Linked DNA regions of Oryctolagus cuniculus. The protein of the gene in region 2 interacts with the protein of the main gene of each other region in a pairwise test. Links are inferred from orthologs where the notes say so. Each region holds a gene or a part of one and is shown on either strand. Other genes may lie near its edges.

Evidence for each region.
Region 1: the proteins of CNKSR1 (region 2) and PIN1 interact in binary tests that used the Homo sapiens proteins (3 or more experiments, as listed by UniProt). The two-hybrid records come from large-scale screens. The link is inferred for Oryctolagus cuniculus from reciprocal best matches to the Homo sapiens genes CNKSR1 and PIN1.
Region 3: the proteins of CNKSR1 (region 2) and CYTH3 interact in binary tests that used the Homo sapiens proteins (3 or more experiments, as listed by UniProt). The two-hybrid records come from large-scale screens. The link is inferred for Oryctolagus cuniculus from reciprocal best matches to the Homo sapiens genes CNKSR1 and CYTH3.

Annotation. Positions count from the first base shown.
Region 1 is NC_091447.1:67,376,367-67,382,238, forward strand, and holds the start of PIN1 (peptidyl-prolyl cis-trans isomerase NIMA-interacting 1), read right to left. Parts: upstream 4,154-5,872; 5' UTR 4,057-4,153; coding exon 3,999-4,056; intron 2,909-3,998; coding exon 2,693-2,908; intron 1-2,692. UniProt on the Homo sapiens protein: Peptidyl-prolyl cis/trans isomerase (PPIase) that binds to and isomerizes specific phosphorylated Ser/Thr-Pro (pSer/Thr-Pro) motifs.
Region 2 is NC_091438.1:145,272,075-145,277,538, reverse strand, and holds the end of CNKSR1 (connector enhancer of kinase suppressor of ras 1), read left to right. Parts: intron 1-290; coding exon 291-350; intron 351-430; coding exon 431-499; exon of another isoform or gene 500-591; coding exon of another isoform or gene 592-633; intron 634-753; coding exon 754-855; intron 856-933; coding exon 934-1,004; intron 1,005-1,177; coding exon 1,178-1,251; intron 1,252-1,401; coding exon 1,402-1,508; intron 1,509-1,586; coding exon 1,587-1,617; intron 1,618-1,935; coding exon 1,936-2,108; intron 2,109-2,889; coding exon 2,890-2,963; intron 2,964-3,089; coding exon 3,090-3,161; intron 3,162-3,416; coding exon 3,417-3,490; intron 3,491-3,594; coding exon 3,595-3,656; intron 3,657-3,769; coding exon 3,770-3,869; intron 3,870-3,948; coding exon 3,949-4,130; intron 4,131-4,376; coding exon 4,377-4,586; 3' UTR 4,587-4,928; downstream 4,929-5,464. UniProt on the Homo sapiens protein: May function as an adapter protein or regulator of Ras signaling pathways.
Region 3 is NC_091450.1:40,266,966-40,272,737, reverse strand, and holds part of CYTH3 (cytohesin-3), read right to left. Parts: intron 4,195-5,772; coding exon 4,130-4,194; intron 3,787-4,129; coding exon 3,720-3,786; intron 1-3,719. UniProt on the Homo sapiens protein: Promotes guanine-nucleotide exchange on ARF1 and ARF6. Promotes the activation of ARF factors through replacement of GDP with GTP. Plays a role in the epithelial polarization.

The DNA.
Region 1 (5,872 bases), on a different chromosome or scaffold from region 2:
CTGTCCACCCATCTGCTAAGGGCTAAATGTCTGTATCCCACTCCCTCCAGGGCCTATGGTGAAGCCCCCACCGCAGTGTGACTGGATTTGGAAATGGGGTCCCTTAGGCATTGAGATCAGGGATGGATGTTGGGCCTAGTGGTTAGGAGGCCCTCATCCCACATGAGTTCCTCGGTTCAAGGCCAGCTCTGGCTTCTGACTCCCAACTTCCTGCAGGCCCTGGGAGGCAGTGATGATGGTTCAAGTAGTTGGGGTCCCTGCCATGCATGAGAGAGTCCTGGACTGAGTCCCTGGCTCCTGGTTTTAGCCACAACCAGGGGCTACTGAGAGCATTTGGGGAGTGAACCAGTAGAAGGGAGGGTGGTCTCTCTTCCTCTGTCTCTCAAAACAGAAAAATGAAAAGGTTACATGAGGGCACAAGGGCGGGATTAGTGCCCTTCCAAGAAGAGACATCTGGGTCTCTCGGGTATGCAAGACAGACGAGGACACCTAATCTAGACGCTGTCTACAAGCCCGAATGAGAGACCTCACCACGTACCAACCTGGCCAGAATCTTGATCTTGAACTTCCAGTAACTTTGAGGAAATAAATTTCTGTTGTTTAAACCACCCAGTCTGTGTTTTTTTTTTTTTTTTTTAATTTTTTGACAGGCAGAGTGGACAGTGAGAGAGAGAGACAGAGAGAAAGGTCTTCCTTTGCCGTTGGTTCACCCTCCAATGGCCGCCGCGGCCGGCGCACCGCGCTGATCCAATGGCAGGAGCCAGGAGCCAGGTGCTTTTCCTGGTCTCCCATGGGGTGCAGGGCTCAAGCACCTGGGCCATCCTCCACTGCACTCCCTGGCCACAGCAGAGGGCTGGCCTGGAAGAGGGGCAACCGGGACAGAATCCGGCGCCCCGACCGGGACTAGAACCCGGTGTGCCGGCGCCGCTAGGCGGAGGATTAGCCTAGTGAGCAGCGGCGCCGGCCTCAGTCTGTGGTATTTTATTATGGAGCCCAAGCTAACAGATCACTGTAACCATCCAAGGGAACATGAGTGAACAGACAGAGGGGTGCCTAATCCCAAAAAGGTTTAGGGACAAACTCCCTGCCCTGCCCTACAACTCAATAAGCTGCTTCTAGTCCAATGGCACCCAGGCACCAAAGGGGAAGGGGCCTGGGCAGGGAAAGAAGTCAGGATTATGTCCCCAGAAGACCTAAGATCCAGCAAGGGGCCCAGAGGCCCAGCCTAGGACCACTGGCCCTCCCTGGGTGGGGGATCCTCAGGTCGGGGCCTCCCTGGGACCCTGGGCACACAGGCATGGAGGGACGGGAAACAGGCAGGGATGGCTCCCCCTGGCTGGCCGCTTCAGGCAAGGACACCAACAGTGACACTGGGCGGGCCTCGGATTCCTGACAGCCCCTGGCGGCAGCCCAGCAGCTGCAGAGGAGCTGATGCTGGGAAGAGGAGCCTCTGCAGAGAGGTGGAGGCGCTGATTCTCGCTGCAGACGCGTCTCCCGGGGCAGCACCGGGTCCCAGTGGGCACTGAGGAGACTCGTGTGGGCCCAGGCTGCCAGCTGGGGAGGGCGCTGGCCAAACCATCGACTCCTGATCCTCTGGAACACAGCCAGACCGGGGGAGCAGTCACCTGCACACACAGGACAAGGCCCAGGCACCCAAGGCTTGTGGAAAACACACAGGATGTCTGGTTACTGAGTGCGCCACAGCCAAGGCCGGCTCACCACGGCCTCCTAGCAACCTCTGAGGGTCCTGCACCAGTCCCACCTCGAGCAGGACGACACTGAAGTCAGAGAAGGTCGCAGTCCAAGGTCACCAGAGGGTCTATGCTGAGCCCACCAGACCGCCCGTGTCCAGGCCCAGAGATCTTTCCAGAGAAGCAGCCCATGAGCCCAGGCCTTCCCTCGACCTCAGCTCCCCCATGCATATGCCTCAAGGACTGGGGTCAAGCCCCAGACACCGAGCCCACGGCTCCCGGCTCTTCATGGGGACACGCGCCCAGCCTACAGAGGCAGCCACCGAGGCTCAGAGAACACAGCTGCTCCAGGACACACAGCTGGCACAAGACCCCAGTCCTGAGGAGCCCAGGGTGTGGTGGGCCTCCCAAGCAGAGCCTCGCCCACTTCACACACCCCTGCATCCTCCCAAGTCTGTCTCCTGAATCTCTCTAGAATCCGCCTCCCCCTCATTTCCACCCTCGGCCCACCCCAGGCTCGAGCCACACTGCCTCTGCCTGCAATCTCTCCCACAGCCTCCACAGGCCCCCCCCCCCCCCCCCCGCGCTGGCAGCCTGCTGACATCCCCAAATCTCCACCTACGGAAGAGCGGGCCCGGGCCCACCTGCTCATGGTCTATCCCTTCCTAAGACCCAAGCTGGTGAGTGCAGCCCCACCGCAGCACCGACCCAGAGCTGGGAAGGCCGCTCAGCCTCCTGCCACCTTACCCGGATCACCCCACATGTCCTTTTGGCCTCCCTGCTCTGCTGAACCCAGACCTGCGTCCGGCTGCCTCCCCAAGTTCCGCCCCCAGCCCCCAGGATTTAAAGGGCCCCGCCCAGGATGAGCCTCTTCCCAAGTTCCCTCTGGCAGGAACTCCTGCAGCTCTACCTCCAAACGCCCTCTTCCTCCTGGAGTCGGCGAGCCTCAGAGCAGGGAGAGCAGAAGTGGAGAGGATCCCGGCCCGAGAGCCCCTGCTCACCGTTGATCAGCTCCAGGGCCTCCTCCTTGGTCCGGGTGATCTTCTCCTGCCGCCAGGACGAGGGCCGCCGGGACTGGCTGTGTTTGACGAGCAGGTGCGAGCAGCGGACACGCGCCGGCTCCCCCTGCCCGATTTTGCCTCCACCGCTGCTGCTGTTGCCGCTGGGGCGCTCCCACTGGCTGGCGTTCGTGATGTGGTTGAAGTAGTACACCCGGCCTGCGGGGAGGGCAGCAAACCCATCGCGTGTCCACCCTGCGCCACGGGCGGACACGGCAGCGCACAGCCCCTGTACTGAGGGGGCTCACATGCTCAGTGGGGGAAGACAGGCTCCAAACCAGCAAAGACGACAACAAGAGAACCCCAATGACTGCTAACTTCAGGGAAGAAAAAATAACACAGGGGATCGGGGGGTTCCAGCAACAAATCCAGCTGAGCCACCCACTGAGGCTAAGATGCTGTCTGTGGGCCTTATCTCCCCGAGCCTCAGTTTTACTCATCTGCAAAATGGGGGTGAGCGAATCAACACCATCAAACCTCCCCTGGGTCGACACACAAGGACTATTACTTCGACTGTGGCCACTGCGGGCTCCAGGGGCGGCAGAGGGACCCTAGACCTACTCAGAGAAGCCGGGCCAGCTCCTCGGGCGCTCGCGGTGACACAGGAAAAGCGCCAGGGGCCCTGGAGCAGGCAGACTGGGTTCCAAGCCGGCTCCAACCCCCCTGAAATGCACGATCTTGGAAGACATCCTTCCACTTCCTGGCCTCAGCGTCCCCACTTGTAAAATGGGCGCACCAACGACCCATCTCCCAGACGTGCGGCAATTCTCAGAGAACTAAAAACACGATGCGGGGTGCACACCTAACGGGGCCAAGCTTTCGATTGGGCTCCAAGCAGACTCAGGAAGAGGTGTGGCCGGCAGGTGTGTGTGCCACGCCTCTCTGCTCGGTGAGGGGTATCCCCCTCCCCAGGGAGTGCCCCGGGCCCAGCTCCCCGCAGAGCGACAGGTGCAGCAGGCCCGTGCTGGCTGCAGACAGCCGGGCTGGCAGACTCAGTGCCGCCGCCTCAGGGAGCGCCGCGGCCTCCCCGGCCCCTCCCCCGCCCCGCCCCCTGCCTCAGTTTCCTCCCGGCTCCTGAGCCTTGCAGCCCTCCACGGGGGCGGGCCGGCGCCGTTACTCCGAGGGCGACGCGGAGGAGCCCAGACCTCACGGGACGGAAGCGGGGGGCTCCTCCGCGCTCGAGGGCAGAGCTCGCGCCCTGCTTCCGTGGGCCCGCGCGGCCCTGCCCCGGCCCCGATCCCCGCGGCACCTGAGCTGCGGCTCATGCGCTTCTCCCAGCCGGGCGGCAGCTTCTCCTCGTCCGCCATCTTCCCTCCTGCCGCAGCGCCCGCTCCGCCTCCGCCGCGCCGCCTGTCACCCGCGCCCGCCCACCGACGCTGCCCATTGGCTCGGCGTTCTCCGCACCGGGGCCTGGCAGCGACGCTCATTGGACATTCCAACCGTCAGGATGAGCTCTCCGTCTTGCTACTGGGCAGAAGCGAGAGTGGGCGGATCCCCCCACGTTACACTGGTACCCGGCCCCTAGTCGGGCTCACTCAGGCCCCGCCCCTCTCCTCTCCTTGGCTCCTAAGTGGTGGATTAGAGACTCGAGACCGCCCTTCTCAACGCCCTTTGGCGAGAGCGAAAAAAGTCCCAACCCCCTTCTTGGCGCTCTTGGCGGGCGGAACCCGACCCGACAGGATAGAGCTTATTGATTGGCTGCCGGGGCAGCAGTTCCCGCCTGCCCGAGCCGTTCCCGGAAGGCCGCACGACCCTCATGCGGAAGCGTCTGGCCGCTGTGCAGGTTACTTGTGGGAGGAGGAGGCGGTGGTACCCGTGCTGTTGCCATAACAACGCAGTTGCCTTGGTGACGAGCAGCTCAGTGCCCGAAGCCTAAGTTTGGCTTCTCCAGCCTCCCTCTTCCCACCTGCTTCTTCCAGATGTCCAAAGCCAACCCGGCCTCGCTGGGCTAAACCATTTTCCCCCCGCGGGCCCTTTGGAATCTACTTATTTCCTCTCACTCTGGCTGCTTCCTCCTCCCTGGCGAGGAGAGCGCGAGAGGAGGCGCAGGTGGGAGAAGCATGAGCTGCTGCGGGGGTGGCCGGGAGTGCCAAGGGCTGCAGGTGAACAAGGGAGCGCTTTATCGGTGTGCCAGTTCCAGACCTAGCTCCTCCACTTCTGATCTGGCTTCCAGCTAATGCACCTGGGAAGACAGCGGATTATAGTCCCTGCACCCACATGGGTGCCCCTTAACAACATCGAGGCTCAGAGACGTGGCTCAGGGAAAACACAGAGGCAGGACGAGGTAGGAGGCCAAGGGCGCTGCGGAGCCACCTTGCTTGGGGGTGAGGGGGTGCGAGCAAGTTACTGAACCCCCGTGCTTCAAGTCCTCCGATTGCAAAGTCGGAGGAAGCAATACTACCACTTCTTCTGTCTGATGCGATGGTTAAGGAGTGGTCCCTATAAAGCACTCAAAACACTTCCTAGCCTACAGCTAAGATATGTTAAGTATTATAGGCTTATATCACAGCAAATTTATAGATTCATTAAAATGTTGACTACCAGTGGTGATACAAGTCAAATGACAAAAAATGAAGAACTTTTTAATGTTCTCATTTTTAAGCACATCTTAGCATAATAATTGTAAAAGATAATTGGAGTTGCAAAAATAGATTTCACCCAGCTGGCAAATGGGATAGCATTTGACACAGCAGAACGGAAGTTTTCACTTAGGAGCAGTTTTGTTCTCCAGGGGACATCTGGTGATGTCTTGACAGTTATGGCTGTCACAAAGGGAGGAAGGGACAATTTAGTGGGTAGAGGCTGTGGAGACTGCTGCACATCCTGCAAGGCATGGGCCAGCTCCCCACAGCTCAGAATTCCCCAACCCCAAATGTCAGCATTGCCACAGCAGAGAAACCCTGCCATGGAATAATCCTCAAAGCTAGGAAATCAACAGCGGTGTGAACCTCTTCACTACACACTGGTTCCATCTTCCCACTGTTCTGTAATGCTTCAGGATGGGCTTGTCTCACGCCAGCTCGCGGTGGGACTGAGGGTGTGTGTGGACCCTGGACTCCTCGCTCTGCATCACACCAGGTGGCTGATGATGTTCAAAATGCATTGCCGATTGCATTTAAGCTG
Region 2 (5,464 bases):
TGGGCCTGGACCTGGCAGGGCTCCGGCGCAGCTTAGGAGAGAGGGGAGAGGACACGAACTTTCTGTCCCCTGGTTTAAGTCGCTGAGAATCTGGGAACTCGGTCACCACAGCTTCCCTCTGGCCCTTATCCGGGGAGGCGGCAGAGGCCCAGAGAGGAGCAGCAAGCCCAAAGGCACACAGCGAGTTGGGGGCGGTGCCCACTCTGCCCCCAGGTTGCCCATCTTTGAGCCCCAGGACCCCTGGCTGTGCTGCCCCAAGCCCTCAGTGACTGTCACCCCTGCCCTTGCAGGACCTGGAAATCCACACCACCAGCAACTGCCTGCACTTCGTGTCCAGAGTGGGCACCCAGGTGAGAGGCCCGCCCACCCGAGGCCCTCTCACCTGGCGGCCTCCAGGGGAGCTCACCCTCTGGGCCCCTTCCCCACCCAGGTCCCCACCGACTCCCGGCAGCAGATCCTGCCTGGAGACGAGATCATCCAGATCAACGAGCAGGTGGTGGTGAGTGAGGACGCTGACGGCGTGGTGGGCACGCGGGGCAGGACGGGGAGAGAGGCAGCCGAGGCTCTGCCCCCCGGGGACAGCAGGGTGTGATGAGCCAGCCCAGGAGGTCGGAGGGCTGCTGCAGAGCCAAGGTGCAGGGGCTGATGGGGCTCCCTGGGGCAGAAGCAGGAGGCTCGGTGTGAGGGCAGGGGTGGAGGTGCTTCCGAGCCTCCTGCCCAGCGTCTCTGCCCCGGCCCCACCCCGTCCCCCAGGTGGCCTGGTCCCATAAGAACGTGCTGAGGGAGCTGCTGCGGCAGCCAGCGGGGGTCAGCTTGGTGCTGAAGAAGATCCCGGTGCCAGAGACGCCCCCGAAGGTACCTGCCTCCCCCGCGCTCCACCTGCTTTCAGGGCCTGTCATCAGCTCCGTCACCTGCTTCTCCTTGTTCCTCCAGACACCCCCTCAGGCTCTGGACTCGCCGCGCCTGGGAAGCCAGTCACCGACTCTGGCCCCGCTGTCTCCCAGGTGCCCGGTCTGCCCCGAGCACGCGGGGACGCGGCCTGCCTCATCTCCCCTTGCTCTCCTGCCCTGGGCACGCCTTGGTGGGGGCGCGGCCTGCCTCATCTCCCCTCGCTCTCCTGCCCTGGGCACGCCTTGGTGGGGGCGCGGCCTGCCTCATCTCCCCTCACTCTCCCCAGGGCCTCACCCAGAGATGCCTTTGCCTTTGACCTGACTTCAAACCCAAGTCCTGGGCCTACCCCTACCTCGACAGGTAGTTTCAAAGCCCTTTAGGTGGGGGATACCTGGAGCCAAGGCATCTGGGTTCCTCGCTGTGACCCCTCATTGTTGACATCACCTCCTGAATCCCCAGGCCTGGGACTGGGCTCACGAACCTTCTCCCTCTCTCCTCCCTCCTTGACAGATTCTACCTCCCTTGACCCTGAGCCGCTGCCTATCCCCTCTGAGCCCCCAGCCACAGTCCCGGCAGAGGTAGCAGAGACCCCAGGCCCCCCAGGATACCCTGACAAGGTGAGCTCAGGAGCTCAGCGGGGAGGGGTGCGGGCTCTGGACCCGCATCCTCCTCTAACCCCTGCATTGTCCTTTCAGAGTCCTGGCCTTGGTGGGAAGAAATCAAAAGGTATGAATGCCCCCAACACGGTGGGACCCCTTAGTGATGCTTACAGTGCTGGGCAAGACCCCCACCCTTCCCACAGTCTCCCTGGAAACAGGCACAGTTCTGGGTCTGGAGTCAGACAGACCTGGGCCCCCAGCCCACAGCTTATCCTCTGATCTGTGTCCTTGCCTTTGAAATGGGAAGTCACCCCCTCTTGAGATGACCGGGTGTAGGCTCAGGCCTCTCCGTTGGGGCTGCTTCTGGGAGGGCAAAGGAACAGGTCTGGGGGGCCAGAGGGCCTTGCCAGCCCCTCACCAGCCATGCCGTGCCGTGCTACTGCAGGCGTGGCGACAAGGCTGAGCCGCCGGCGGGTGTCCTGCCGGGAGCTGGGCCGGCCCGACTGTGACGGGTGGCTCCTGCTGCGCAAGACACCCAGTGGCTTCATGGGCCCACGCTGGCGCCGCTGCTGGTTTGTGCTCAAGGGACACACGCTCTACTGGTACTGCCAGCCCCAGGTGAGACACCCCCACCACCACCACACAGGTAAGCAAGTGGCTCACCTCAGGGCCTTGATTCTTATGTGTATTCTACCATCCACTCCCATCCACAGGCCCCGGTGTGCCCATCTGTAAAATGGGCATAATGGAGAGAAAGGAGCTAACACAGGTTGTAGAAGCAGTTTAGGAAAAGGCATCCCAGGAAGTACAGAGAAAGTCACTTTTATTCTGCCCATCTCTACGCCCCTTCTGACGTTCCGCCCATCCGAGTGATGGGCCATTCGTTTGCTCATTTATTCACTGAACAGACAGTCAGGTGCTTGCTGTGTATCCAGCTCTGGGCCAGTCATGGGGAGAATCGGGCAGTTCCTGCCCCTCCAGAACGGAAGAGTCTGGTGGGCCGTGGTAAACACACACTCATGGACCATACGGGGGTGCGTGTCCGATGAAGGAAAGCCAGGAGGGGCGTGCCCTGGAAGCTTCCTGGGAGAGCAGTTCTGGGGGTTTCAGATGAAAAGGGGCAAGAACCCAGCACTCAGGAAGCTCGGGGCAGGAGCAGCCCCGTGGGCATCTCCTGGGGACCAGGCAGAGGAGCAGACTCCGCTCTCACAGCTGCTGCCCTGGACGGCCTTGGCTCTGCCTTCCTGGCTTGGACACACCCTGTGACCATGCCTCCCTCCCTGAGCCCCAGGACTAGGGGCTTGTGGTTGGAGAGGCCAGCAGATGCCCCTGCAGGTCCTACCTGCCTGGGCCCTGAGGGTATCAGGGCCCCGGGCTGACCCTCATCTTGTGCCCACAGGATGAGAAGGCCGAGGGCCTCATCAATGTCTCCAACTATAGTCTGGAAAGTGGACATGATCAGAAGAAGAAATAGTTAAGTCCTGGGCTGTGATGGGCTGGGGGACAGGGAGGGACAGCAGACAGGTGCTGGTGCCGGGTAGGGAGGATGGGAGGCGGCTGGGGCCCCGGGAGGAGGCTGAGAGGGCCCCTCCCTGGCAGTGTGTTCCAGCTCACCCACGACGTGTACAAACCCTTCGTCTTCGCTGCTGACACCCTGTCGGATCTGAGCATGTGAGTGCCAGCCTCCCCCTCCAGTCCCATGTGCTCCCAGCCTCTGAGTACTGGTGAAGATACTTGGTTCTCTAAGCCTCAGTTTCTTCATCTATAAAATGGGCTGCTAAGAGTTCCTTCCTCTCATGGTTGCTCTGAGGATTGAATTGGACAATGTGGTAGTGGCGGGGGGGGGGGGGAGTGCTAGGCAAAGCCCTGGCACACAGTAGGGCCTCAGTGAATAGAAATTCTCTGAGGCCCAGCACTCCCCCACAGGTGGGTACGCCATCTCATCACCTGCATTTCCAAGTACCAGTCTCCAGGCCGACCCTCACCAGCCAGAGAGGAAGGTGGGTGGTTCCAGGGGAGAAACCTGGGTTTCACCTGAGCCTCTGCCTGTCCTGAGATGGGGCCTGGCAAACCCTGTGAGTCCCGACCCGTCCCTCCCCTGCAGACTGCTACAGTGAGACAGAAGCCGAGGACCCTGACGACGAGGCTGGGTCCCGCTCAGCCTCGGTGAGTGCGGACGACAGGGGGGCAGAGGTGGCGGGGGGGGGGGGGGGGGAGGGTGGGAATAGCAGGGCCTGAAGCTAGACTCACGCCCTCCACCGCTTCCACCCTGCCCACAGCCCAGCCCTGCACAATCTTGGAGTCCGCTGCACAGAGACACGTCACCGGCAACCACGCCCACACAGCGCAGCCCACGGAGCTCCTTCGGACCCCCAGCAGGTAGCCGGCTGAGCTGGGAGCTGGGATGGGACTGAGGGGCGGGGCAGGCACTTGCTCATCCCGCTCTCCCCTCCCACAGACAGCAGTGATGGGGCGCTGGAAGGAATGGTACGGGGGCTGAGGCAGGTCGGCGTGTCCCTCCTGGGCCAACCACAGCCCCTGACCCACGAGCAGTGGCGAAGCTCTTTCATGCGGCGCAACCGGGACCCCCAGCTCAATGAGCGAGTGCACCGCGTGCGAGCGCTCCAGAGCACACTCAAGGTCAGGGGGCCGCGCGGCAGGGACAAGGCTCTGGACTCTGGCTTTCTGACAAGGGCTCGGCCCTGGGCTCCGTGCTGCCATCTGGGCTCGGCTGCGGGCCGGGCCACGTTCTAGGTGCTGAGCTGGGGTCGGAAGTCCCACCCAGGTTCCCTGTGCCACACACCACACTCCAGCGTCAGGTCTGCACTCAGGCTCCGCTCTCCCCCTGGCTGATCACGGCCCCATAACCTCCTGTTCCCATCACAGGCAAAGCTGCAGGAGCTGCAGGCCCTGGAGGAAGTGCTGGGCGACCCCGAACTGACCGGAGAGAAGTTCCGCCGGTGGAAGGAGCAGAACCAGGAGCTGTACTCAGAGGGCCTGGGGGCCTGGGGGGTGACTCCGGCCTCTGTCCCCCTGCCCTCTGACCCTCAGGAGCACTCTCATCTCTGCCCCTTGACCCCAGACGGCACCCTCTGACCTCCCGACTTCTGACGGGGGCCACTGTCTAGCTCCTGCCCCTGATGAACACCTCAACCCCATCCTTGACCATCTGGAACAGCACATCTCTGGGTTCCATTCGAGGCTGGGGCGGTGCCGTCCACGGCCCCCCGCCCCAGGTGGAGTTCCCGCCATCTGCCCGTTGCTCCTGGAGTGGGGTACAGTGAAGTGAGCCTCATGCCGCCCTATCCTCCCCACCAAAGAAAGGACTCCCACCCCACCCAGGGCTGCTCTCCCTTCCCCAAGCCGGGCCTGTTCAGGTGACCTTGATTTCACGAGAGACACATTTCAGCCAAATAAAGCCACTTCCTCCAAGGTGAACACACATGTGCCTTCATTTCCGGTTTAGCACTGGAACTCTGGGCCGCAAGAGGGGGCCGCGGTGGAAGCCCTCAGGTGGGGACTCTGGGCCGCAGGACCGGTGACAGCCCCTTCACGGCCCTGGCGAGCACCTGAAGCCCCGAGCCTGCCGGGAGTGAGGAGTGGATTCTGACCCACAGCTCAGCTGGGCCCCTCATGACCTTCCCTCTCCGGACCTTCCAGGGCCAAGGTGCTGCCCACACATGGAAACTTAGAAATTTCCACCTTGTAGATGAAGAAGCCAACCTTGCACGGAAGCTGGGGTGGGAGGGAGGGCTGCTCGGGATTGAGCTCAGCCCTGGAGAAGGCCGTCGGGCAAAACCCACGGCCACGGTGCAGCCTCACCTCCGGCTCCCGGCTCCAGTGCAGGACGCGTCCCTATCCTCCATCCCTGTGCCGTGGGCCTGTGACCTCTGATCCCAGCCCAGTAGCCCAAGGCAGCCTGAGCTGCCTCTGCAGGGTAGGTGGGGCAGCTCTGGAATTCCTTGGTAGAATGC
Region 3 (5,772 bases), on a different chromosome or scaffold from region 2:
GGGTACTTGGAGAGTGAACCAGCAGTTGGAAGATCTGTCAGTCCGCCTCTCCATCCTTCTCTCCCTTTCAAATAAAATAATTTAAAAAAAAAAAAAAAGGTTCAGCGTTAAAAGCATCCACTTTTGTAAACATTCTGAGATGTTGCCTTACTTATTTATTTATTTGAAAGGTAGAGTTACAGAGAGGCAGAGGCAGAGGCAGAGGCAGAGAGAGGTCTTCCATTTGCTGATCACTCCCCAGATGGCCACATGGCCAGAGCTCGGCCGATCTGAAGCCAGGAGCTTCTTCCAAGTTTCCCATGCCGGGGCAGGGGCCCAAGGACTAGGGCCATCTTCTACTGCTTTCCCAGGCCACAGCAGAGAGCTGGATCGGAAGCGGAGCAGCCGGAACTTGAACTGATGTCCATATGGGATGTGGGCACTGCAGGCGGCGGCTTTACCCGCTACGCCACAGCACCAGCCCCGAGATGCTGCCTTGTATTGTGATAATTCTACTGTGTAAACTCAGCTCCAAAGAAAAAAGCAATGGTCACCAACCTCAAATATGGAACCAGCATTGTATGAGTGAGCGTCTCTTTCCTGTAACAAATCCCGATACAAGCTAACGATGGAGAGAAAAGGTTTACTTTGGGCTTGCGGTTCTGGAGCTCCCAGGTCCGGATCCAGTGGCCCCCGCGGGTCTGGTGTCTTGACAGGGCAGCAGAGGGTGGAAAGGGAGCAGCAGAGGACCCCAGGGAGAGCAGGCAGCAGACAGAAAGCAGCTGGGCCGGAGCTGTCTTCCAAGGGCCTTGCCAGTGACCTGGGACCTCCCTGAGGCTCACCCCCTCCCCTAACTCTGTAATTGGATCAAGTCTCCAAGAGCCAGCCTGGGCGGAGCCTGTACCACGTGGGGCTCTGGAGAACACCACGGCTGGGATCTAAATGACAGCCATGATCCAATGCACAGCGCTGTTCTCAGTCATGTTCCTTCCATTCTGGACTGGACGTACGCCACAGAGGAAGAGGACTGGGGTGTGACTGGAAAATGTCCACAGCGGCCGAGCACGCTGGTTAAACTAAAGCCCTCCTCCAGCTGCACCGGCGCTGTGCCCCAAGGAAATCCAGTTTTGCAAACAGGAAATAATAAACATCTCTTCAAAAGTCAGCTGCAACTGCACGGTACTGAGAAATGTATTTCTGCAGACCCAAGACCTGACACAGTGTAATTCCTACAATCAACAAACATTTACTCAATGAGCAAATAATTAACTAATTAATTAGCATAGAGGCTCAGCATCAGAAAAACAAGGACAAAGTTAGCAGTGAACACCAGAGCCAGCACTGTGGAAGAGCAGGTAAAGCTGCTGCCTGCGGCGCCGGCATCCCATATGGGCAGCGGTTCAAATTCTGGCTGCTCCACTTCCGATCCAGCTCTCTGCTGTGGCCTGGGAAAGCAGTGGAAGATGGCCCAAGTCCTCGGGCCCTGCACCCACGTGGGAGACCTGGAAGAAGCTCCTGGCTTCAGACCAGCCCAGCTCCAGCCGTTGAGGCCATTTGGGAAGTGAACCAATGGATGGAAGACGTCTCTCTCTCTGCCTCTGCCTCTCTAACTCTGCCTGTCAAATAAATAAATCTTTACCACAGGCAGCAGGGACTGAGCCGCGCCGTGCGGCGTCTCCCATGAAGACATGCCTTCCTCCCCTCAGCCACCAGCCTGTGGCAGACTCAGGCCCTCTCTCCTTTCTCAAAACCAAAATGAGGCTGGCGCCGTGGCTCACTAGGCTAATCCTCTGCCTTGCGGCGCTGGCACACCGGGTTCTAGTCCCGGTCAGGGAGCCGGATTCTTTCCCAGTTGCCCCCCTTCCAGGCCAGCTCTCTGCTGTGGCCAGGGAGTGCAGTGGAGGATGGCCCAGGTGCTTGGGCCCTGCACCCCATGGGAGACCAGGATAAGTACCTGGATCCTGCCATCGGATCAGTGCGATGTGCCAGCCGCAGTGCACCAGCCACGGCGGCCATTGGAGAGTGAACCAACGGCAAAAGGAAGACCTTTCTCTCTGTCTCTCTCTCTCACTGTCCACTCTGCCTGTCAAAAAAATAAAAAATAAAAAAAAAAAAACAAAATGGGCGTGGGTGCTGTGGCACAGGGGGTAAAGCTGCCACCTGCTATGCTGGCATCCCACATGGGCGCTGGTTCGAATCCTGGCTGCCCCACTTCCGATCCAGCTCCCGGTTGATGTGCCTGGGAAGGCAGTGAAAGTCAGCCCAGTGCTTGGGCCCTGCCACTCACGCGGGAGACCCCAGACGGAGTTCCGGGTTCCTGGCTTCAGCCCAGCCCAGCCCAGCTTGTTGCAGCCTCTTGGGGAGTGAACCAGAGGATGGAAGATCTCTCCCTCGCCCCCACCTCTAACTCTGTCTTCCACATCAGTCAATCAATCTTAAAAACGGGGAAAAAACAAACCACCCACATTACAACTGAGTCGCGGCCTCCCTCTGTGGACTTTGCCAAGTCCTTCCGTGCAGCCCCACACTGCAGGCTCTCTGTGTTCGGCGTCTTCCCGCAAACTCTAATGTGAGCCACGATCCGAGAGCGCTCAGTGTGGAGAGCCCTGCTCTTCCCACAGAAGCCCTTCCAGGGAGCAGGGGCAGCGAGGTGCTCCTCCTCCAGCTGTGCACCACTCCCCAGACGACAAGGCCCGTACACACGGCACACACGGGTCCCGCTCCCAGCTCTGCTCCCGGGCTGCAGGGCTCAGGGCGGGAGACCGAGGGGCAGCACCCCACGGAGCAAGGGCTCTGCAGGCTCCCCTGAAGCCTCTGCGAGCGGCACTGTCCTCACTCAGCTCCGCGGGGAGGGAGGCCTCCCTGGGGGCGGGCTGATGGGATGCAGGGGTGGGGGAGGCCTCCCTGGGGGCGGCTCATGGGATTGGGGGGGAGGCCTCCCTGGGGGCTGCTCATGGGATGGGGGAGGCCTCCCTGGGGGCAGCTCATGGGATGGGGGGTGGGGAGGCCTCCCTGGGGGCGGCTCATGGGATGGGGGGGCCTCCCTGGGGGCTGCTCATGGGATGGGGGGGGGAGGCCTCCCTGGGGGCGGCTCATGGGATGGGGGGGGCCTCCCTGGGGGCGGCTCATGGGATGGGGGGCGGGGAGGCCTCCCGGGGGCGGGCTCATGGGATGCAGGGGTGGGGGAAGGCCTCCCTGGGGGCGGCTCATGGGATGGGGGGGGCCTCCCTGGGGGCGGCTCATGGGATGGGGGGGCCTCCCTGGGGGCAGCTCATGGGATGGGGGGGCCTCCCTGGGGGCTGCTCATGGGATGGGGGGCGGGGAGGCCTCCCTGGGGGCGGGCTGATGGGATGCAGGGGTTGGGGAGGCCTCCCTGGGGGCAGGCTGATGGGATGCAGGGGTGGGGGAGGCCTCCCTGGGGGCTGCTCATGGGATGGGGGGGCCTCCCTGGGGGCTGCTCATGGGATGGGGGGCGGGGAGGCCTCCCTGGGGGCGGGCTGATGGGATGCAGGGGTTGGGGAGGCCTCCCTGGGGGCAGGCTGATGGGATGCAGGGGTGGGGGAGGCCTCCCTGGGGGCCAGCTCACAGGACGCTGGAGCTCGGAGCTCCGAGCTCCACCGCAGTCCTGAGCAGCCCCCTTCTCAATAAAGAGTTGCCATCAGCTCCCAGTCTGAGCACCTCTGTCCAAACCGCTATAAATTACTCGACCTGTGTGTGCCAGGGAACGAGGTTCCTCTCACCTTTTTGGGATCCATGTTGAACTTCTTTCTTCCCATAGCGATTTGCTTGTTCCTTTGAGTGGTTTTGCTGTGCGTTTGACATAATTAGAGACGGTCAGCAGTGTTTCCAGAGAACACGGACTTCGGTGGCGGCGCCCAGGGTGGCGTCATGGCCCTCGGCACGCCCACGCCGCCCCCTCCCTCCGGCGCGAGCCACCACCTGGAAGCAGACAACTGGGACCCACTTTCCCGGGAGAAGCTAACAGAGAAAGCCGTGGGTTTAAAAGCACGGCCCCTTTAGGCTGGTGGAAAGCTGCTCTGGGCAGGTCACCTCCCAGCGCCCGTGCTTCCTGCTGGGCTGGGAAGCGGCACCCGCTGCGCCTGGAGGTTGGGGAATGGGATGAGCGGGCGCAGGCGGCCCTGGGGTTTACCTCTCCTCCACAGACGTCAGGCTGTCGATCTCGGTCATCACCTCGGCGATTTCGTACTTCAGCCTCTGCAGGAAGAAGGGGGACGGCGGGGGTCAGGTGGGTCTGGTCCTAACCCTCCCTCCTCCTGGGCTCGGCTGTGGCCCTTCCAGGCTCAGCCTCCCCGTCTCCTGAGCATCCCAGGTCGGAAAGCCGGTGCCTTCAGCAGCAGAGCCTGAGTCCCACAGTTGGAGCCGCTGGCACTCAGGAGCAAACAGAACTACCCGTGGGCCTTTCCGTCAGGCTCCGGATCCGAGGGGCCCACGGGGCAGACTCACGAAGGCCCCGGGCAGTGTCCGGGGCAGCGTTAAGATGCCTACAGCCCACGCGGGAGTGCCTGGGTTCAGATTCCGCTTCCTGCTGATGTGCACCCTGGGAGACAGCCGGAGACGGCTCGAGTCCTTGGGTCCCTGCCACACATGTGAGAGACCTGCATGGAGCGCCTGGCTTCGGCCTGGCCAGCCCTGACTGCTCTGGGCATTTTGGGAATGAACCAGCAGAGGTTCATGTCTCTCTGTCACTCTGCCTTTCAAATACATTTAAACAATAGAGAAGGGGCATTGGCGAGAACATCACAGGTGTGGGAAGACAAGAGCAGCACCAGGGAAGCCATAAGAACTGTTCAACATGGCCCCCACACGGCCCCTCCTCTGCCTCCTCCCTCAGGGTCCCTTCCCCTCCTGGAGAGAGGGAGGGAGAAGCCAAGCTCCATCCCGGGCGGGGCGGGGCGGAGACTGGCCCAGCTCTCAGTCCAGGGTGACTGCTGTCCCTCCGTAAGGGACAGGCACCACCAACAGGGCCCAGGGGTGAGAACAGAGCTGACGGAGCCGGGACACTTGGGGGGACTGAAACACCAGAGGGGTACGATACCCTCTTCTCCCGAGCTGTGGCCCCACAGGCTGAGCGACTTTCCACAGCCCCGGACCTCTCAGAGCTGGATCCAGATTCCAGGTTAATCCACGCGTGCTCACGAACATCCAAATAACATGGGCTTCTGCAGCCAAAGGACCAGGACCCGGGCGTCGGCCCCCCGACTTCCCTAAGGAGGGACTGTCGTGAATTACCTGCCCAATGCAAAGACATGGGACCCGGAGCCCCTGACTGTGCCAAAAGACCGCACACCGACAAGGGAGTCACTGTCTGGGGCCGGGCCTGGCCTGTGGACCACGAGTATCTTGGCAGTGCCTACGACCTGGGAACCTTTCAGAGAAGAGCCACACGTCAGATGGCGTTTCCTACAGAGCGCAGAGGGAAGGGGCCAGGGCTCGCTTCAGTCACTGGTGCCTCCCGCACGGCCCCTCCGCCCTGCCCTCTGAGTGATGTGGAGGCGAGGAGGTTGTGTTTCCTGTTTATCATTCTACCCCCCGACCCCCCGGCTGGCATTAGTGCAAGGCTGGAACCCAGTAGACGCTCACCCACTCATTCAAAGGATATCTGAGCACCAAAACCCTAGCAGGCAATGGCCTAGGTGCTGGGGACATTGGTAAACCAAATGAGGTCTTACCACGCCATGCCAGGGAGCAACCTGTCGACGGACGTGGGTGCTGCTTCAAAGGCCGCCTGCGGCCCTGGAGCCACTCGCATGGACCCCAGGCCCGCCGTCTGCC